Linked DNA regions of Styela clava. The protein of the gene in region 2 interacts with the protein of the main gene of each other region in a pairwise test. Links are inferred from orthologs where the notes say so. Each region holds a gene or a part of one and is shown on either strand. Other genes may lie near its edges. The genes, in order: PAN2-PAN3 deadenylation complex subunit pan3-like and PAN2-PAN3 deadenylation complex catalytic subunit PAN2-like.

Region 1 (10,948 bases), on a different chromosome or scaffold from region 2:
CATTTCACTCCCTAAATTCACCCCATTTCACACTAAAATAATGGAAACAAAGGTAATTTTCCCAAAGTTATAATAATGATTTTCGTACATCTCATTCATTCCTACAGCCTGATGACCTGCACCAAAATACTTCGGTAAAATTCATCCCCGATTCCTCATCCCACCACGGCCTCCAGTCCGATCACCAGTCTATAGAATTAATCAGCTATTTGTTTTTGGACTCATGGACTCTGATGTGGAAAAAGCTGTGACCGACTATCGACTGCGGCCCAGGGGTCGGCAAATTTTATGTCGCTCGTGAGACAAAATTTAGGGTTGCTAGTCTTTTGCGGGTCGCATATATTGTTTAAAAGTTGAAAACGGAACAGCGCGCGAAAACTGCGACAATTCGTGAACTCAACTTAGTCGTCTTATTAAAAAATCATTACAATGACATTTAATGTGACACTGTCTTGTTGCTGCATCCCGCTTGATAGCTTTACGACGCCAAGATTGGAACGTTTTCTAAATAGGCATCACTAATCCCAGTTCTTTAATTGTTCTTTGTAATGTCCATTTTCGAAAATAATTGTTAACACAAATATGTACTTCCAAACATTAAGTGAATATTCTTGCATGGTTTGTGAAATTTTGATAAAGATTTTCTTTAATAAGATACATTCTTACAAAAATTACGCAGTAATGAATCTCTCGAAAAGAATATGAATTTTTTTTTCTTTATTGCATTGCAATATATTCGAATATTAACTGCGCTATTGAACCCCTGCCCTCAGCATCAACTTTTTTTCTTTGTGTTTCCATTTGTCTAATTATAAATAAATTGTAGGCTCGTTAAACGAGTAGCTAACTGTTCAATAGAATTTTAGGGATATAATAAAATTTAGTCTAAACGTGTCTCACGAAAAATTCTGTTACGTAAAAAAATGTAATTTACTCCTCGAGCATAGATTATAAATAAAATAAATTCATCGTCAAAACCGCCGTTTAGATGTTTACCCGGGCATAGACTTCCTTGTTTACTTCGTGACATTGGCCAATCAGCAAGATGCAAAAATAAACGTAACAATGCCCCCTTTCGCATCCGCTCAGACACACTCACTCGGACAGATTTCCAGGCGTGGTCGTGAACATTACCTCATTTTTGCGTTTTTGAATTATATTCGTTAGTTTTTAGTTATTTTTCCGAAATTTAAATATAAATCATATAAGTCAATGATTACTTTGTCTTTCTATGAGTTTCAGTTTAAATACAGTAATCAAAAATTAGTGTAGAAATAGCTGTAATAGACTAGGCTAAAACTCTTTTTCGGTACTTTTAAAAAACAGATTGTTGAATGGTATGAATTAGAATGATAGTTTGAAACAAATACCCCATTTGACAGACAACAACTCACAAAACCACTCTTGAAATAAGCACCGAAAATTATAAAATGGTAAAGTATAGGAAGAATTTTCGAGGTCAAAGGTCGGAGATAGGTCCATTCAGTGAATCGTCCCGGGCCAGATTATTTTACTCCGGCCGTATTTTGCCGCCACTGGAATACACAAACTACCGTACCTTACTGCGAAGACGAGTCCAGCAATCCTTTCACGTGTGATAATCGACCACGTGATTTAATCCTGCAAAGCACACAGAGTACAGAATTATGCGCACGATGCGCCGAGCAAAAACAGGTTTCGCGAAATCGCCCCCTTCAACTTTTTGGCCCTCTCTGTATCGTTTTCGCCCACCGGGGGGCGATATCGCCCACTCTGGGAATCACTGGTCTATACTATATAGCCTGTGCTCTGGCAGGCTAGTGTGATCACAAAATATGTAAAACTGATATCTTAAGATTAATAAGAAGTTTTAGGCTCCAAAAAGCTTCAAAATGAAATGATTAGCAAGATTCTAACAGCAACCAGTGCAGCTAACAACAGTCTCTCTAAAGCAGTGGTCAGCTATGTTCATATACCTACGGGCCAAATATCAACTTTTTCGTTAGCGAGCAGGCCGCAATATTTCCGCCTTCGAACAATCTCCACATTGAACTTCAAATTATCGCGCATTTGCACCTTCTATTGCTGCGTTAAAAGTTTGCCACAATGAGACGTGTATGTGGTCTTTTTTATATGTTATCCAACAATGCATTCTTTTTATTTACTTATTATCAATGTGAATGATGTTTTAATGGCAACTTGCCCACGGTACGTCGTCCAAATGACGATCTGACAAGCGATTACAAAATTTAATCCAATTGTATTGCATTTTAGATAAAGCTGCTCACAGTAATATGAGCTTCCGAACATGCTTCCAACATGATTACGATACATGTTTTGCACTGTCGCAGAGATGAGATGTGGCACAGTTCTGGATCTCGGGGTCGAATTTTCAGAGACACGTTTTGTAACATTGAATCCCTCAATATCTGCGATGCTGGGCATATCGAGCAAACTGGTTTGGAAATGCTCAAGAAAAATATTTTCGTTCCAAGCACTTTGGAATGTTTGACCCTCGTCCCGAATTCCCCACCGTTTCTCAGACATTTTAAAATTTTTGAAAATCAACATTAACTCGAACGACATACAACTGTCGCTACTTATTATAAAACAAGCGTTCTACAGCAGACTTGTTACCACATAAATCCGTGTAGAGACAAAAATTTTAGGATAAACTTTTGTTTTATGTATTGTCGGGTCGTTCGAGGGCCGCAACAAATTACTTTGCGGGCCGCATTTGGCCCGCAGGCTGCAGTTTGCCGATCCTAGCCCTAAAGTATGAAACTAGTTTTGCATACAACCTCATTCTTTCATGCCCAGCAGAGCAAACCCAAATCACAGAAAATTAAAAAACAAAACTGCAGGTCCAAATTACTACTCATCTAGCTGTCTAGTGTTACAATGGATAAATATAAAAGCAATTATAATGGAAGACCTATTGAACAATGAAAATAGAGCTACCCATCAATGGCATGAATTCTTTTGCTTCCACACACAGGCCTGCATCAACTTCAGGTGGTCTTTCAAATGAAGCATAACTCCTAATATCAGGGCCAGCTTCATGGCTCTAGAATGATACAACACATAAAAAAATTGTACCCATATCCGAAGTATAAATTTATCATTTAGTTATTACTATTAGACAACAATCAAAAAGCAAGAATACTTCTCCCAAGGAGTACTTGTCAATTTTCCGAACGCACATTTTTGGGCGCATGTTCACTAAACGACGTAAGTACTTCTATTTGGCGTGGCACAACTATTTATGCTTATGTCATTCCTAACCTCCACCTGGCTCAGTGATCTAAAAATTACGTCAGTACGACCTCACAATCACGTCAAAAAGCTTGCCAAAGGATACCTTCGATCGCCCGGAATGGCATCTTCGCCAACGATAACGAACTCACTAATGCTAGTGATCTCTCTCATATCAGGATCATTATGCCGAGAAAAATAGCTTGCTCAATTTCGGGTGATCGCCTGCGCGTCTTGGATGACAGATAGTATAGTTTGGAAGGCCTTATTATGTTACTGTGACGTTGTAGTGACATAATTTTTTAATGACAAAGTCAGGTTGGGATTAACATATGCAAAAATTGTTATGTCGCGCTAACTAGAGGTACTTATGTCGTGTTGTGAACTTGGCCCCATTTTTGTTTGGGATCATTGCGAAAGCAATTTTAGGTAGATTAGAAAAGCAATATTAGGTAGATTAGAAAAGCAATATTAGGTACATTCGAAAATCTCTAACTTTAGTCATATTGCAGTATTGCTGTACAATAACTCTAAAGGAAATTCCCAAAGTTTTAGAGTAAATTTGTATTTTTTCAGTTAGTTGAATAGAACTAATATACTGACATACAGTATGATATAAATAAAAAAATAAAAGACTTGTACTTGAGAAGAATTTTCAAATATATTCCTCGACTTGTTTGTCATGCTATTGCTCCTCATCAACTGCTGAAATTTTGATTCCTTTGCCATTCCAAAAGATGGTAGATCGCCAACGAGGGCATTGTTAACTGAAATCAAAATTAAGCATAAAAAAAGTTAGGATATTCATTAATTGAAGCACAAGAGGTTTTAAACAATACCAATATGTAAAAATGATTGTCAAAAAGAATATTTTATTGCAGTATTATATCGAAGTTTTGTTTTGTGCAAGAGCCGTGCACATTCTCACGAAGGATATAATCTCAGATTGGGATTCAAATTTCCATACTAATTATGGTTTCAATGTTTCTTAATGCTGGTATTGATTTCCACCATGTTGGTGTTAGAAAAGAACATGCAGTGTTTGTCCAAACTCAAATTCACTGTATAAGTAGGCTATATGTTTATTTCGACTTCATACAGTCATAATCAGCATAACAATAAAATGATTGATAAACACAAATAAATAATAACAGATTATAAAATCAGGAGAGCAAACAAAACCTTAGATAAGGTTTAAAACATACAGAATGTACTTTGGCCATTGTGATACATAATACTGTCATAATAAAGGAATTATCTTACTATGATCGAAAAGTGATGGATCTTGTCCATTCCCGTCCATATTCCGGATCACCAGCTTAAAACAGCATTAGTTTTTCACAGTACCAGCAGGTCAGTCATTAATACCAGAATACCGTAATATTGTATCAGCGTGCGTATCCTTCTTCTGTATATTACCAGTTGACAGGTTGATTGTATGGCTAGTCAAATCTAGGGAAGTGATGATTGTCCCCAGACTGTATGGAAACGACTATTTTATCATGGTTCACTCTGAAATAATCTACGTTACCGGCACGGTGTTTTTGATTTTTGAATAATATTGGTCTTGCGGCAATTCAATCTGTCAATGGCGGTAATTTATGAGAAGTTGAACAATTAATTCTTTATCGAAAATAACACATAGAAACCGGTGTGTGTAATTGATATATCCCCTTCACGCATTTATGTTTGATCAAAAATTGACGAACCTTTTCGCCGATGCACAACGAACATGCACGCGATCGCACCAATTTCCCTGCGTGGAATTGTCTGAAATCAAGTTATTTCGGATAGACTCGAGACATTGGGCACTGCGTCTTAATGGCTTACGTAAAATGCGAAATGACAACGAAAAGAGGAGGATATTGAGGAGATTGACAAAACAATCGATATCATTTATTTGCGTTATGAATTGTTGCTTTGATGAATTGCCGGCGGTGTGGCGCGTCGTGCTAAGCGTTAGGAATACACTCGCCACCGCATCGCTGATCACTCCGCGTGGGTTCGCGGGTTCGAATCCACTGGAGGAATTATGTGCGAGGGGATCGTTGGACTCCTCGTCGCCACAGGGTGGTTCACGTAACCGCTGGTCGGTTACGGCTTCCATCACTATCAAGTCGATGCATCTGAAACAATAAGTGGCTAACTAGTCCAATACCTGACATGGACTGGTAACCGGATGAGGCAGTGGTTCTGACATATGATTAAGCCGCCTTAGCGGTTAGAGCAATAAACTGCAGAATTACACACTTTCTGAGATCAAAAGGGCATTGTTGTTAAAAACGGGGACCATCAACTATCAGTGAAACAAGCAAGATTTCAAAACCGATCTTAAGATCGATAAGTAATGATCTATCTGTTCATTTCTGGCAACATCTTGTCTCTTTTGGAGAGGCATTTGCAGACTGTTTTAGGGGTTATACGAGAATCAGATGCTACTTTGCATTTTGTTAGTTTCTCGCCTACAATGCCGTTGAAAAAACAAAATCTTTCAGATTTGAAATAAAAACCTAGAAATCTGAAAAAACAATGGGGCAGTGTAAAAGTGCCCTAATGTGGTTGAAAGCTGATCAAAAAATATAACACTATCAGAATGGAATTTCCTCCAAACTCTTTGGAACCGTAAAATAATTTGCCGCAACATCCTAAACGTTTTTGTTAATGCATATACGTGTTTTCGTACTCTAATTTCATAAAATCGAGTATATATCATAAAAAGTTCCTGATAGAAGTGCTGCATAAATAAAGCCCAAAACTACACCAAGAGAAGATTATAAAATTTGCTTTGGAAGTTTCTTATAGATATAAACATTGATTGTATATATGTGACCCACTCTCTTCTGTTCCGCGATAAAAATATAATTTTTGACCCATTCATTAAAAAAGGTTTGCCATCCCTGTGCTAGTGATATATTGGAGTATATATAATGGCGACCGAAGTATCAGTTGATATCTTTAGTGTTGGGACTAATGGTACGATTAATAAGGTCTTTGATTTGTCTGCATCCAGTTTGCATGTCATCTAATGTATATACAAATTTCTATGTACTTTTTTATTTGGATAAGTTACTATGCGATGAATGAAACGAAACATAGGCCTTCGGTTATAGAATAGGAAGAGGCCCTCGAAAGTCTCAATCTGGCGATTTCTGTCTAGCTCAATTTGATTCTACATGAATGTTTTTTTACCATATATACTTAACTTGTGAGCTATTTTCAGTGCACATTATTTCAGCTTTAGAAAAAAGATATGAAATATAAACATGAGAAATTGATGTTTGTGATTCAGATGTATTATTGGCGTGCCTCGAGACCCACATCTTACGGTCTATTGAAATACTCAGATTAATGCATTGGACCGACCCAAGAATCTCTTCGGCGTTCGCTTAGAAAACCCAGTTTGGTTATCAGCATGTAAAATAAATGTTTAGTTATCTTATCAAACTAATACAAAATAATTTCAACATTCGTATACTATCCTATCTTTTAATTTAAAACATTCTCAATCAGATCAGAAAGCTGAATATATCTGTCTTTATTTAACAGATCCTGGAAAATAGTCGATACATCTCTAGTGGGAAGCATATATTGAAGTGGTAGATAATCTGCTTTGGGTTATGAATAACACAATTATTATTCTTTGTTGCCACGAATCGTATTTATATATACGAATAATACAAATAAAAAATGAATATCATCTATTATTGGAGAACCTCACCCCTCGCGGCTAGAACTATTCTATCAATAAAACATATTCAGGCTATCAGTCGCTATGTGCGTAGGGACTTGTTCGAAAAGAATTGTTTAAAAACAATTGTTTCAAATCATGTTTTTTTTTGCCTGTTTTGTTCAAAATGGCTGTACTGTTTGATTTTTTTGTACTAAATAGATTAAAGATAAAGGACGTAAAAACTTGCCAAGCGCTTCTTATTTGCAATAAATCTTTCAAAACGCCACAAATATCGATAGAGACTCATGCACACCTTCTCAAGCTGTAGTTCAGTGGTTGGCGCAGTAAGACGCAACCGGTAAGCCATTACGTGAACGACTCTGCTGCGATGAAACCACCTTGCGAAAATTAAAATGCGATCTAATAAATGAGTTTGTATAATCTTGAAAACTCACTACAACCCTAAAAACAAAGTATGTTAAGCATAAATTAACCGAATAGTATTAACCGTAACAATGACTTCATTTTATGAGAAAAATGTCAATACATGACCTCGAAATCCATATTATGGCGTCATAACAGATTAGTTGTGGCGTCTTTGCATCAGAGAACTCTTACAATTAACATTGGCCAGGTTAGGGTGCACTTGATTGAATTGCTGTTGTAGTAGGCTCGTGAGCTAATTTTCATGATTTTTCTTACTCAAAACGTCTCTCTGATATCTCGGCTAAACACTCCGGGTAAAATCTTATGACTTTGTTAGAGATATAAAATGGCGATAAATGTACGCAATAGTGGTAAAAGTCAAAATAAAACATTTCACTTACATTTTTGAAATTATAACTCCGGCTGCGTGTGCAGCTGCCAGAATGCAACGTTTTGGCATAGCTTCGCGGCGATGCAAGGGGTATTTCAATAAAAAAAATTGATTTAAAACAAGCCCTTGTTTTAAAAACACGATGTTTTTTTAGAATTGATAAAAAACAAAACCCTATATGTGCGCGCCGGAAACTAACAGAATTGTGTTAAACACGACTAATATAGGATTGAATATTTTACAATTTGCATCTGTTATAAATGTTTTATTTATTTTTTTTTCATTTTTAAATGCTGTGAATAAGAATCAATAAATTCCTTTCACCTTTCTATGCCGTTTACTTTTCTGTTACGCGTTACTTACTACAATTTCGTGAGCTGCAGTTTATTTATCTGCTGTGCTGAACCGAATTTAGCGAACAAGAGCGATTTTTTTCAGTATTTCAAAGGAAGATCAGACAGAGAGGAAGATTTGAGTGGTGCCTTTATTCTCTAGGGCCTAGGCCTTCATGTTTACAAACTTTGAAAGACAAAGTACACATTACCGATCACAAACTTGAGTCGAAATTTAACGATCACAAAATTGAGGCAGAATTTTTTTTATTGTGTAAGTGCGCCGTGAGTGTTTTCCCTGATGATTTGGCGCATACCAACACAAAGTTCGGGAACCTATGCTGTAAAGCAAGAGATCAATTCTTTAAATAAAACGATGAATATAACCAGTTTTGCAATCTGTAACCAATGAAATTTGGCATTAGTTTAGAAGATGAAATGTTATTCTCACTTTGTTTTTTATGGGCCATAATTTGATTGCAAACCAAACTACATCGTATATGATGTTCATCAAATTATTGGATTAAAAAAAATTTACTTTAATTTTAGAATAAACAAATTGGACGATAATTTTTTAATTTAGATTTAAATCCTATCTACGAAGTGTAGAAAAACTAGCCATTCTGCTACCGTGTTTCCCCGAAATAAGACCTAGCCTAAAAATAAGATCCAGCAGTCGATAATGCGAAATCTCTCCTACACGTTTTAAATGATTAATCTAGTGAATTGCAAGACATTCCAGAGGATGATGATTGATGATATGTTCATTTTCGAATAATGTATGTTTTTAATTGTTTATTTTTTTTTTTGAATAAAAACGTCTTATTAATAAGTAAATGGATATCGGTTTTCATATTTTGTATATTTGAAAATTTCGTAATTGTCTACTTCGTAATCTATTTTTGATGAATGAAAATAAAAAACATCCCCTCAAAATAGTCCCTTGTGTTATTTTTCGAAAGAAAATTGAAATAAAACACCCATCCTATTTTCGAGGGAACACGGTGGATGTTGCAAATCTAAAGTTGAATAAGACCAAAAAATAACTAAAATGATGATAGTTTTACTTTTCTTGTGCATCGAAACATTGATATGATAAGATTGAAGTAATTTCATAAAGCATTCGACGGATGATGTTTTTTTTTTATGTCATGTTGGGTAGGCCTATTCGACCCACGACCATTTTGATTGTCTTGTCATATTAATTTAATTGTGCACGTGGTATCTCCCTGATATCGGTTTTCAAGATATCGCTGCGAGAAAGATCCGAAAACCTACGAGAAAATCCCAGACTGTATAATTAATTGGACATACTTTACATTGATCAGCAGCCGGGATTAAAAATACATATTTATCGCGTGTAAATCTCCTCGGAATGGATTTTGAGACAGTTGCCGTGAGTACGCGACTTGCGACTTTTCATTGGGTAATGATTTTTCAGTTGCGCGAAGTATTCAATTGACGGGCAACACGAGTCTATTTATATTGCTTTGCTTTATCAGATCGTGTGTTTAATGTGACCACGTCGACAAAATAAGAAATTTACTTTGAATATATCACGGCAATCCCCGGCCACAAGAAAACTTGTCAAACTGCCCCATTTTATCTAGTTTCGATTCGTATTTTTGCGATGTTACGAATTATACAAATTTAATCTGCTATTGGAACACTGACTCAGTTCTATCACAATGATATCACCAAAGATTATTTTCAAAATATCAACGTTAGAAAAATCCCTAGATATGCGATAGTATTCTAAAGACTACAATTTATTTTAGTACAATAATAATTGATTGTACCATGATACACCGGTAGTCGACCAAAAATTCGATCTCGAACAGTCGAGTGGTGGTTAAGACTGGCAGACGAAAATCTTAGTATGCAGTTGAGTTTCCAAATCGTCAGTTCGTCCTAATATTAAGCGCTTAGTAAAGCAAAAAAGTTTCCAAAAATCTCACTAAAAAAAAATCAATTATTCCTTTCCCATTTTATGCTGCAATATATCATTAAATAACCTAAGCTTTATGGATGAAGTTGTTCGTTCTTGTTGATGAAAATTAACAGGTATCATAGTATGATTTGTGCTTACTCAGCGGTGACTGATAAAATTTAGCTTAGCGAATGGGTTCGTCACCCCTGTTATAGAGGATGAAATGTTATTCCTACTATGTTTTTTATGGGTCAAAATTTGATTGCAAACTACATTGTATATGATGTTCATCAAAATATTGAATCACAAATTTTACTTTCATATTAGGATGAACAAATGCAAAGTAAATAATGATTTTTTAATTCAGATTTAAACTCTATCCACAAAGTGCAAAAAAATAGCCATTCTGCTACGTGTTTCCCCGAAAATAAGACCTAGCCTAAATTTTAGAAATGATTTTAATATAAGGCGCTCCAGAAATGTGTGTACCACTAGTTTTGTTGGCCTACTTTACATCGAGTTGTGTGAAGGGACTGAAACCTATGGGCTGTTGGTATATTCATTTGGCTAACACAGACAGTCCCCGAACTGTTGGTAATAGAAATACAATAACGAAAATCGGAACGAAATCATGATCTAACCATAACCTGGTACACGCACCACGGGAGTACCGATTTCACTGTCTAGAATCGGCGTTCAAACGGCAACGTGACGCCTATGTTTTGACAAAATGTGACCACGCTTGTTCAGCGATTAGAGCGCATACATATGTTGGTATCACAGGTTAAGGATTCCTGTGCCTCATTGGGTGAGCAGTGTAAAACAGGGAAGAGGTTTTAGGTTTCTAATCTTTAAAGAATTCGCTTTATGAAATTAACAAATAATTTCATTATTGAATGAACAAGTGAGTACAAGACTAGATTACCTAGTACACAATATAAAAAAAATGAAATGAAAAATGATAT
Region 2 (11,012 bases):
ACTTGTACATGAGATTGCAATCACTGCACAAATAATTTTTAATCAAATCCGATACATTTTTGATGATTTCTTCCGCTTTATCTTTCTCTAAAGACCAAGATTTGAGTCGTAATTCAAGTAGCCACGTATCCATAGCAACCAAATCAAAGTCCAATAAAAATCCTTCAATGGTTTAAAATTTGCTTCAAAATTGGGGAAAAGTACTGCTAAGGCATGCTAAAAGCTGCGCAAGTTTGCTCAAAACATAGACACTCAACCAGAAGTGGGTTCTGGTATAAGTTTGCCTAAAGCAGGGTCATAAGCCTTCAAGCACTGTAAGCAGTTAGTGATGTCCAAACAGCTAAAAATATAAATATGCTCAAAGCAAGTTAGCTTGAAGATTCAAATTCCTCAATCCAAAAAGATGACGATAGAGGAGTTACAAACAGTCATTGAAGTGCGAAGAGCTGTCACAAGTTTGCTCAAAGCAAGGTCCCGGGCCCTCAACTACTGGAAAGAGTACTGATAAAAGAGTTGCAAGTTCGCTCAAAGCAAGATTCCAAGTCCTCAAGTCTATGTGGAAAGAGTCCTGATAGAAGAGTTGCAAGTAGCCAATGATACTCTTATCAGTTAGATACAGATATATCCCTGTGACATTTCAAGTCAGCACTGTCAAGGAAATGTAGCAGAAACTTGTTCCATTCAAATGTTGGTTAATGATTCCGTAGTACCAAAGATTGATGGGAATATCCATGTATTTTTGTTCCGACAGAATTGAATTTTGAATGGTTAAAATAAGTCCAAATACTATCTTAAATTAAACAACCTGTAATAAATTAAAATGAGAAATTATTTAGAATCAGCATGATGATAAAAATTGCAAAATAGGCAAAATTTGAGTATTCTAGTAACAATATACCTGGCAGAACTAAAAATTATTTTCACCTCGTTTAAAATATGTTGACAAAATAGGAACTGTGTTGGGCAGGAACGGCTAAAATTGAATCTATTTCGAATATTTGTTCATATTCAAATATTCTCAGGCCCGTGGACTATGGGAAAATCCACCAGAAAATATCAGTTGTAAAAATTGTAAGCACTTGTAGAACATAAAATATTTTCAGCTAGTTTTAAAAAAAGATGACGAAATAGGAACAGTGTTTGGCAGAAATGGCTAAAATTAAATAATTTTAAATCTACTCTGAATAAATACAGAGTTTCCCCAAAAATGAGACCGGGTCTTATTTCTATTTTCTTTCAAAAAATAACGCTAGGGCTTATTTAGGGCGATGTCTTTTTTTTAATTTATCAGAAACAAAAATTCAAAGTAGAGAATTATGAGATTTTCAAATATACATAAATATGACAATCGATATTAATTTACTTCAAAATTACACGTTTTTATTTTTGCACTATCAACTAGGTCTTATTTTTAAGGGATGGGCTTACTTTAAAATCATTTTAAAATCCAGACTGGGTCTTTTTTTAGGGGAGACAAGGAATATATATTTGTTCATGTATTCTCATGCCTGTGGACTATAGGAAAATTCACAATTGATCAGGAAAATTTGAATTTGACCTAAAGTCGTAAATGATTGAAAAGCAAATTAAACTTTTGTACATGTCGGACCTCCCCCTACCCCTCCTCGCTACGCTGGAGTACCCAAACTATTTGGGTATTCTGAACGCGATTATCACTAATTATTTTCTGAGAGTTTGAAGATACAACTCCATTTCTTATTCCATGGTCTAATAGTTGAAAAAAGTTGACAAAACTGCAAAATTGAAAACTGAATTCGGAACTAAAGTTGACAGATATTTGGAACTACGAGAACAAAACACAGTAATGTACAAAAACGTTATTGAGTACTACAATGAATTTTACAGTAATTGAAAAGGTAAAAGCAAAAACTGGATGCCAAATAAAAACATCATGTTGGTTGGGTGCTACCCTGCTATTGCCATAACCCAGGGGCATAGCAAGATATTTTTAGAGGGGGGGGGGGGGGTTCGAAAATTTTCAGAGAAGCCGGTAAATATGGGTTTTCATGCATAGCAAATAGTTTGAAAAGACATGATCCATTCTTTTTAAATTAATCATTAAAATTAATCACAAATTTTCAATAACGGAAGACATTGCTTGTGAACCAGAAAGAACTGTCCCGTAGACCTCTCGGCTTAGGGTACCTGTTTGAACTGCCATAAATTTAAGATAAACTAAAAAGGTCGGAAATTAGATGCTGGGCCCTAACGAGATAGCACCCAAATTAGAAAGTATAGAATGCATGAACTGCATAGTATTTGAAGCTTCATCTGCACATGGTAATGAATTTAAAAAACTAGAATATCGGTTAAAAGAAGAAGACTTATCGATCGAAGGTTAGGGGATCCCTCAAAACAGTGGTCTTACTCCATAGTGACACCGTGTGTCCCATCACTAATTAATCAATAACTCGCTAATTATAAGACATAATCCTGATCCGAGCTATGATGAATGCACATTCAAAATTTGGAGCAGATTCAAACTCGCTTTCGTGAGATATCGCGTGCATCTAACACACAGACATACAAACAGACAAAAACCTATCAACATACTTACCGATCTTAAGATCGATTAGTAATAACTGAAAATATTTCTAATGATTTTAAACCAGGGATGTGCAACCTTTAATACAAGAGGGCAAGGTAGGAATATCTGAGTGAAATCGCGGGCCGCACGTTTATTCAACATAGGCTTTCTAGTAGTTGCAAGCACAAAACTTTGGTTACTGATTTTATGACACGTGTTGTTAGCTCTGCATAAGCTCAGGTATAAGTTTTGCAATGCAAAGGAATAGGAATTACCTGCACATACTAGATAGGACTAAATTGAAAACTCGTTTCGTGGGCCAAACACTATTTAAAATTGGCACTTCTCTGTGGGCCTCATAATTTTTCCTTGTGGGTCGCATTTGGCCCGCGGGCTGCACAGCCCTGCTTTTAAACAATTATGAGTTTGGGTTCCTAGTTCAATTCCGACCCCATTACAGCCACCCCGAAGAATAAAGTGGCAACATAACAGAGGGATTTGGTTATGAGCATAAAAACAATGAAGCATGACTTGCAGCATTAGTTCCACATATTTCAAATGAGCATATTCTGCCAAAATATATGTTATGATAATTTTAGTTGAAAACGAGATGATTGCATTTAATCATATTTGAAAAAATGAAGAATGACTTGCAGCATAAGTTCCACATAATTCAAATGAGTATATTCTGCCAAAATATAAGTTATGATTCACAAGAAAAATCGCTATGATTGCGCTTTATTCTAAAAATGTGATGAGGCCTGATTGAAATCTGACAATATGTAAAGAGTTACTTTTATTATTTGAACTTGAATATGGAATTTTTCTTTTTAATAAATAAAATTAAACTTAAATCATAATTTTCAATCAACATCAGAATAGGCAAGCCTATATATAAATTTTAAAATAGCACCCAGTGGCGCAACCAGACCGTTTTCAACGGGGGGGGGGTCCGACAGGAATTTACACAGTGCAACCACGACGTAAGTCGCAACGCCTCTAGGTGTCGCCCCGCTGAAACGCGATAAATTGCTCGTGGTTAAAATGGAAACGCCATCGATTAAATCCCAGCCTTCAGCTTACCTTGCACTCGTTCATTAACGACGCTTCGCTATGTCTTGCACCTCGTGGGTAGCAAACACCGTTCATTACATTCCAGCGAATTGCTAACGAAAAGCTGTTAATTATTTTCAACATTTCCCTCGCTTTGCGCCTCGTGGATAGTGAAACACGGCTTGAATAAATTCCAGTGTTTCCCTAGTGCCGGCCTTGCTCGTTGGGTGAATTCGTCAAGACTAAAAACAAAATGCACTTCTTGCGAATGGACCTTTTCCCGACCCTAACCCCAGAAAAGTTCTAAACTAAACTGAAGCTCACCGGAAGACATGATGACAATTAAAATAATTGATTTACAACTAATTTTTGGAAACACAACTAAAAAATGACTAATTTAATGCAGGGATGTCCAAATCGAATTTAAATTCAAATATCGCAAACTTCAAATACTGTTTTTTCGTGTTTATAATAATCCCGAATATGGCGCACATATCCTAGCGTCGTCCATGTGTGGTTCGGCAATATATTACAGCTGACATGAAAGAATTTCGATAAACGCCGACTTGAAGAACTTATAAGACTTCAAGGACGTTTTTGATTGAAAATATTTTCTTATCGTGTATTTTAACTTAGTCGAGATGGTTCAGGCGTCCTCGGCAAATTGTGTCTTAATTAGTTGTTTTCATTCTCAGTTTCGATAGTGACCGAACATAACAGGAAATTTTTTCATTACTTGTAATGTAGCGCATATAAAATAGCTCTTAAATAGTATTTAATATCTATCGCAGATTTCGACGGCATCCGGCGTTGATGACAACATCGTTCAGTTTAAGTTAGCGGTATTCATTTACAAACAAAAATACATAACAGCCGACATGAAATATTCAAATCAGCGCAGAGTTCAAAAATAAAACACGTTTTATGGTCTTAATATGCACATAGAAAGAAGAAAGGACAGAGAAATAACGACTAAAAACTAAGAACGGTATGGTATGTTTGTGTACTTTTGTTTACCATCGTCATCATAATCAAATTAGTTAAACCCGATTCCCAAATTTCCGTCCGCCAATAATGGAGAATAAAGATGGAGAAACGTGTTTTACTTTTTGAGTCGGCGTTGATTTAAATTTTTCATGTTATGTGTTATAATTTTTCGATTATAAACCAATACCTCCAACTTAAAATGAACGATATTGTTATTAACGACGCCGGGATAACGATAAAATCTCCGATAGAAACCAAATAATATTTAGAAGCTATTTTATAGAGTGCAAGAAATTAAAAAATTTCCCGGTAAGTTCGATAACTATCGAAACTGAGGATGAAAACAATTAATTAGGGCAGGATTTGCTTTTAAGTTTATTGCCGAGGCGCACAACATATCTTGACTAAATTGAAATATACGATAACAAATGTAAAAAATTTTCAACCAAAAACGTCCTCGACGTCTTATAAGCACTTCAAGTCGGAGTTTATTGAAAACCTTTCACGACGACTGTTAGTTATTGCCGTACCACACATGGCTGCGATAAAAATCAATATTTTTCCGAAAATAATTTTCGTATCCAGATTTTGAGAGTTTCTACTGCATTATTATAACATGAAGACGGGCGGCGATACATTGCGTCAAGATGATGAAGCACGAGAGTATTCGTCACAAGAGAGAAAGAGATAGCATTATGCTATTGTCGCTTTCAATTCGCATCGACAGCGCGCGATTTCTACCTTTTTGAGGTAACATATCTCATTTTCGAATACAAACATATACGCGGGGATAGCGATTGTTACGTAACTAACAGCAAAAAGGTATGATTGAAGTCGGGCGGTGTTAAATTACGTCGAGGTGATAAAGCACTGGAAAAAAGTAGTTTTCACCGGATTGTTATGACCGTGGAACGACGTTGTTTGAACGTAGAACGATAATAAAAAAAAACGAATTTCAAACGGGGTGGACACGACCCCCGTAACCCCCCCGCTGGTTGCGCCACTGATAGCACCTCTTCCATTTACCATTATTTGACCTGAATCATTCAAGCGCAACTTGGCAGAATTCACAGAATTCATAAATCATTGAAGCGTTATTAGACAGAATTCACACAATCTACAAACCAATGAAGCGTTACTAGATAGAATTTACACAATCTATAAACCATCGGAGCGTGATTAGACAGAATTTACACAATCTATAAATCATCGTAGCATAATTAGACAGAATTCCCACAATCTGTAAACCAATGAAGCGTTACTAAACAGAATTTAGACAATCCGTAAATCATTGAAGCATGATTAGACAGAATTTACCTAATCTATAAACCAATGAAGCGTTACTGGACGGAATTCACACAATCTATAAACCAGGATTTCCGAAACTGGGGTTTGAGATGATATGAAATAAGTCTGAAACATATACAAATAAATCATGATCTTATCAACATGCCGTTGACCTGCCAGTATTCAAAGTTAGTATGTATTTGTTAAAACTTAGATGAGTTTTATTTCGGTAATGGAAACATTATCCTTCCTCGTTGGTCAGGCACAAAATTTGATATGACATAGGATGAGGGCCCGTCAAAATTATATTCACTAACAGCGGTCTGCCGCCCGAAAAGTTTGGGAAATCCTGCTATAAACCATCGAAGCGTAATTATATAGAACTAAAACAATTTTCAAATCATTAAAACATGATTAGACAAAATTTATACACAATCTTAAACCATCGAAGCGTGATTTGACAGAATTTACACAGAATAATCTAATGAGGTGTGACAATCTTTAATAAAAATCATTCAAACATGACTAGACAGAATTCACAGAATCGATTACCTCTATCAAAGAATAACAGCCTAACTAAAAACTCATAGGTAGTCGGATTAGACAGAATTCCCACTACAAGGGGGGTTTGCTCCAAAAAGGCAAAACTGGAGAAAGATGATTTTGAAAAAAAAACAAAAAAAATTGTGAACGGTTGCTTCTTTTTGGAATACTTCGCTTAAAAATCATTTGAATATGACTAAACAGGATTTACACAATTGATAACTTTATTGAAGCGTGCCGGCACAACTAAAAATCACCAAAGCGCGATTAGACAAACTTTATAAAATAGAACCAACTCCCCTGTTAAAGTCAGATTAGACAGAAAGGGGCATTTAACTAAGAGACAACACTAAATGGCACCAATGAATATTTTCTATTCTTAACTCCTTACTCTAAACTTTTTATTGAATTACTTTGAATGAATATTGCTTCAAACTAGGATCAGATACCAGCTTTAGAGAGGACTTTTTTCATAGTGATATTTCCAAATTAATTTTCTCGAAAATTCAACAATCTTGAATCCTATGAATCCTTCCATATAGTGTAGAAAACCCATTGCTCTAAATAGGACGGCACACAGACCTCTTTCTTCGTGTATTTAACGCGACACTCCAATTTCTCGAGCTGCGTTTCGTACATTGCGAGTGCATTTTGAGCCAGCAGTGAGTTCCCTTGAGTGAAATATTTTCCATCATTTTTCAGAACTTTCATTGACATCGATAATATGAGACGCAAGAAGTCCCAGTGATCGCCTACTGGCTCGGTGCTAACTGGAATCGCAGTTAGGTCGTTAATTATATAATCAAACTTTTTCTTTTCTGCTACATATTTTTTGAGATATTTTACACAATCGTCTACTATGACTTCGTAATTTTCACCAGAGAGGGAGTCAAGAGCATCGTGGCAAATTCCTCGCAAATGTATTTTCGCTGCGTCAATAACCATTTGGTCGATATCAATCATTGTTATCATAGATGGGCCGCGATCTCGTAGATAATGAAGTATTCCCCCGTCCCCTCCTCCTAAGATCAACACATTCTTATCTTTGTAATCTTCCTTATCATATCCAGTGATAGCTCGAGTGTATTCCAGATCACTTTCCGATAAATTCAGATCGTTATCAAGAAAGAGACAACCTCCATATTGGGGTGAGTCCATAATACGAACATGCTGGTACGGAGAGACATCATCGAAGTGAACACCTTTAAAATCGCGCTCTACTAAGAGACCGGTGAGCAAATCATACTTCGAAAACAATCTCCCTCGTTTCAAACTCGGCCATGGTAAGAAGCCTGGTGTTTTCAACTCTTCAACAAAACTCATTTTTTTGATTTTATCATTAAATTCGCTTAGTTGCACCTTGAAGCATGAGTCATCAATTTTTGGAGTACTAATATCAATAGTCAGTAAAGGATAGAGGTTTACAGATTTGTTTCCTCGGAGTAAAACAGTCTCGCCAGATTTTGCAGTGAAGAAAGCTATGATTCCATTATTGAATGACTTGTGGACCAGCTCGCTTTCGATTCCCAAAACTTTTCGGATTAGAGTGGATAATTCATCTATTAGATCTGCGGCCTTGTCTTTTTCCAAACATTCAGGTTTGAGATGATATTCCGTTAGCCAAGTATCCATGGTGTCATACGATATGATACTTTTATAGAAAACTATTAAGCTATGTTAGCTGTGAATGTGCAAATGTACAATATAAAACAGTTTCCTCTTACAGCATGGCACACTATCCAAATTCCAAGAATTTCTCTCCATTGGGCTCAATAAAACAAACACTCTATGTGTCTAACAAACAAGGGGTGTCTGGCACCACGTCAAATGCTTCATATCGTACCATACTTGTCTCAATAATAATCTAAATTAATCGTGCCCGAATTAATCGCTAACTCTCGAATGCCACGGTAAATTTTTTTTCCTCTTGTAAATCGGATTATTTTTTCCCCAAGGAATTCAATGATGACAATATTAGATTGCGTTTATTTGCAGCATTTGCGCAATTTCATTATACTGTATTATTACCGATATTGAGGGACAACAATGTCCAAACGTCTCCCAAAGAAGGGGTGTCTGTTACTCAGTAAAATGGGATTCTCTAAAACTAGACAATGTTGCTCGATCTGTATAGTGTGCTCCTAATACCAAACAGTAATAGTACCAGGGCCCTACTTCAATTTCTTACCTCCTGCAAATATTGAAGTTATATCCTGGCTGCAAAATCTGGAGTTTTTTCAATTCCCCCCCAGCGTAATAACTCGTTCCTCCCTCTTCCCCACTATAAATATGGCCACAATCCGGCCCGTCAAGACATTTAGTGTAGCCCTTTTCAACAATCTGATATTCAAGCAATTTGGCATTTGACTCCAACTATAATCAGGGTGGCAAAGCATTTTTTTTTTAATGTCTTTATATTAAATACTGTTCCCTCATATCTCTGTATCTACAAAATCTGTATTCAATTTGGGAATTTTTACAAAATTATTAAAAGGGTGTGGCAAACAATTCTTAGTCTTTATTCTAATTTCTTCTTTACCTATTTATTTTTTTTGTTTGTTTACTTATCTAAAGCTTCTCTTTTTTCTAACTTTATTATGGTCCTATCAGATTATGGTTGTGTGTGTGAGTAAATTGATTCAATAATGTTATGTGAGTGAATGCGTACCACTTCTTTTTGGCAATACCTTCCATCCTACTGTCCTATATTCTGTTTATTTTAAACCTTATCCAAGGTTTTGTCTGCTCTCCTGATTTCATAATCAGTTTTTGTTTATTTGTTCTTATCAATCGTTTTATCGCCTTTTATGCTGATTACAGGATTATGAAGTCGAAATAAACTTACCGTACCGTATCTCTAATCATACAAAAGGACGGTTTATATCTAGGGCACTCACATGGGTGAACATAATGATTTTTGTTCTCGTCACTGTGTTGAATTTTTTGACAAAATCTTTATTTATTACTGTATACACATAAAAAATCAGACACTAACACTTATTTAAACATGAGCATTCCATACCACATTTATATTATGTGGTACCATCACTCAAGGGTGTTGTATTTATGTACAAATTCTAAATTTTAGTATTATTTATACATGCAGATTATTTCGTGTTGTGTTATGTTTTATTTATGGATGTTGTCTTGTCTTACAAATTCCCTTGTACAAACAGTTTTGTATACTCCACCCTTACCCCTGTCACCACACTCACCCACTCTCCTTGCACAATTGTCTGTATAAGGGACCATATTATACCGGTATGTACCTATTCGATTTATTTCTATTCAAAACTTTTTAAACGGGGTGCATGCCGCACGTTTGTGTTTTAGGCCAGTATGGTCTTGTACATACATCCAGTCATCAGTAATGATACCGTAATCTATCTACGATTTTATTGCTTTTTACGAGATATATAAACATACATACATACCCTACAAGGCTAAGCGATAGCCACGGGTGTACCGGTACGAACTAGGCCTACAATGCGTTACCGGTACCCTATTTCTGCATTTCAATATAGCCTACCGGTACTGTTCTGCCTAACCGTAAGCCGTACCGGTACCGTAAAATTGAAACCTACTGTATCCCCACAATCGTAACGGCACCGGTAACCATTGCTGCAGTATAAGTATAAGTTTATTTCGACTCCAGTTCGGCCTACCGGGTAGTCTAACGGTGCCCAAAACTGCTGACAGTGAGCGGTTACAAACAAACTTCCGCCTTATGACGAAGGAGTACTGATTTGGCCGGGTAACCTGAGGTCAAAATGCTCATATTTATATCATCCAATTTCAAAAATTAGCAAGTGTCGTGCCCCCAATGACGAAATTGTGTAAATGACGCCATTTGATCAAGCGACGGTCCTCAGCTCTGGAAAAGTCATGAGATTTGGGGCGTTTCGGGGGCGCGTGAGAAAGAGAGAGATTTGAAGTGGTGAGATTGTTGAAAGCACAGCAAAACACAGCTTTCCGTATGGTCACGAATTATCTATAATGTCATTCATTAGTTACGTTTGAATTCACGTCTTTTATGTTTCCATATGCCATTTTGCTGAATGCTCATTCAATAAATGTCGTCTCTCCACTGAGCACTTTCGGATTTTCATTGTAAGACTCCGATCACTCTCATGAGGCGCGAATAAAAATTTTCTTTGTCGAGTAGGATAGGATAGACATATTTATCCCGAGGGAGAGGAAAGCCGATAAGACGGCATAGGATTTACATATTTATCCAGAGGGAGAGGAAAGCCGATAAGACGGCTTATCCATATGGCGAACCACGGCCTCTCGTCCGGTTACCATTCCAAGTCGGGTATACCGTATGGGGTAAGTTATATTGTTTGTTTTCGGAAGCATGGACTTGGTGGTGGAGGAAGCCATAACCGACCAGCGGTTACGTGAACCCAATGACGGCGAGGAGTCCAGCAATCACATAACCATCCCTGCATACGATTCGAACCTGCGAACACACGCAGAGTAATTAGAGGTGCGGTGGCGAGCGTATTCCTAACGCTTAGCCCGTTGAGCCACACCGCCGCGCCAGGGTTTCTTTGGTGAGTGTTACTTAGAATTTTCTTTGCTGATGAATTTT

What was found.
Region 1: the proteins of PAN2-PAN3 deadenylation complex catalytic subunit PAN2-like (region 2) and PAN2-PAN3 deadenylation complex subunit pan3-like interact in binary tests that used the Drosophila melanogaster proteins (3 or more experiments, as listed by UniProt). The link is inferred for Styela clava from reciprocal best matches to the Drosophila melanogaster genes PAN2 and PAN3.

What each region holds. Positions count from the first base shown.
Region 1 is NC_135262.1:19,580,655-19,591,602, forward strand, and holds the start of PAN2-PAN3 deadenylation complex subunit pan3-like, read right to left. Parts: upstream 5,170-10,948; 5' UTR 4,538-5,169; coding exon 4,498-4,537; intron 4,002-4,497; coding exon 3,877-4,001; intron 3,047-3,876; coding exon 2,941-3,046; intron 1-2,940. UniProt on the Drosophila melanogaster protein: Regulatory subunit of the poly(A)-nuclease (PAN) deadenylation complex, one of two cytoplasmic mRNA deadenylases involved in general and miRNA-mediated mRNA turnover.
Region 2 is NC_135254.1:1,608,493-1,619,504, forward strand, and holds the start of PAN2-PAN3 deadenylation complex catalytic subunit PAN2-like, read right to left. Parts: upstream 4,234-11,012; 5' UTR 2,563-4,233; exon of another isoform or gene 1-2,562. Other genes in the region: spermine synthase-like, read right to left, coding at 6,941-8,050. UniProt on the Drosophila melanogaster protein: Catalytic subunit of the poly(A)-nuclease (PAN) deadenylation complex, one of two cytoplasmic mRNA deadenylases involved in general and miRNA-mediated mRNA turnover.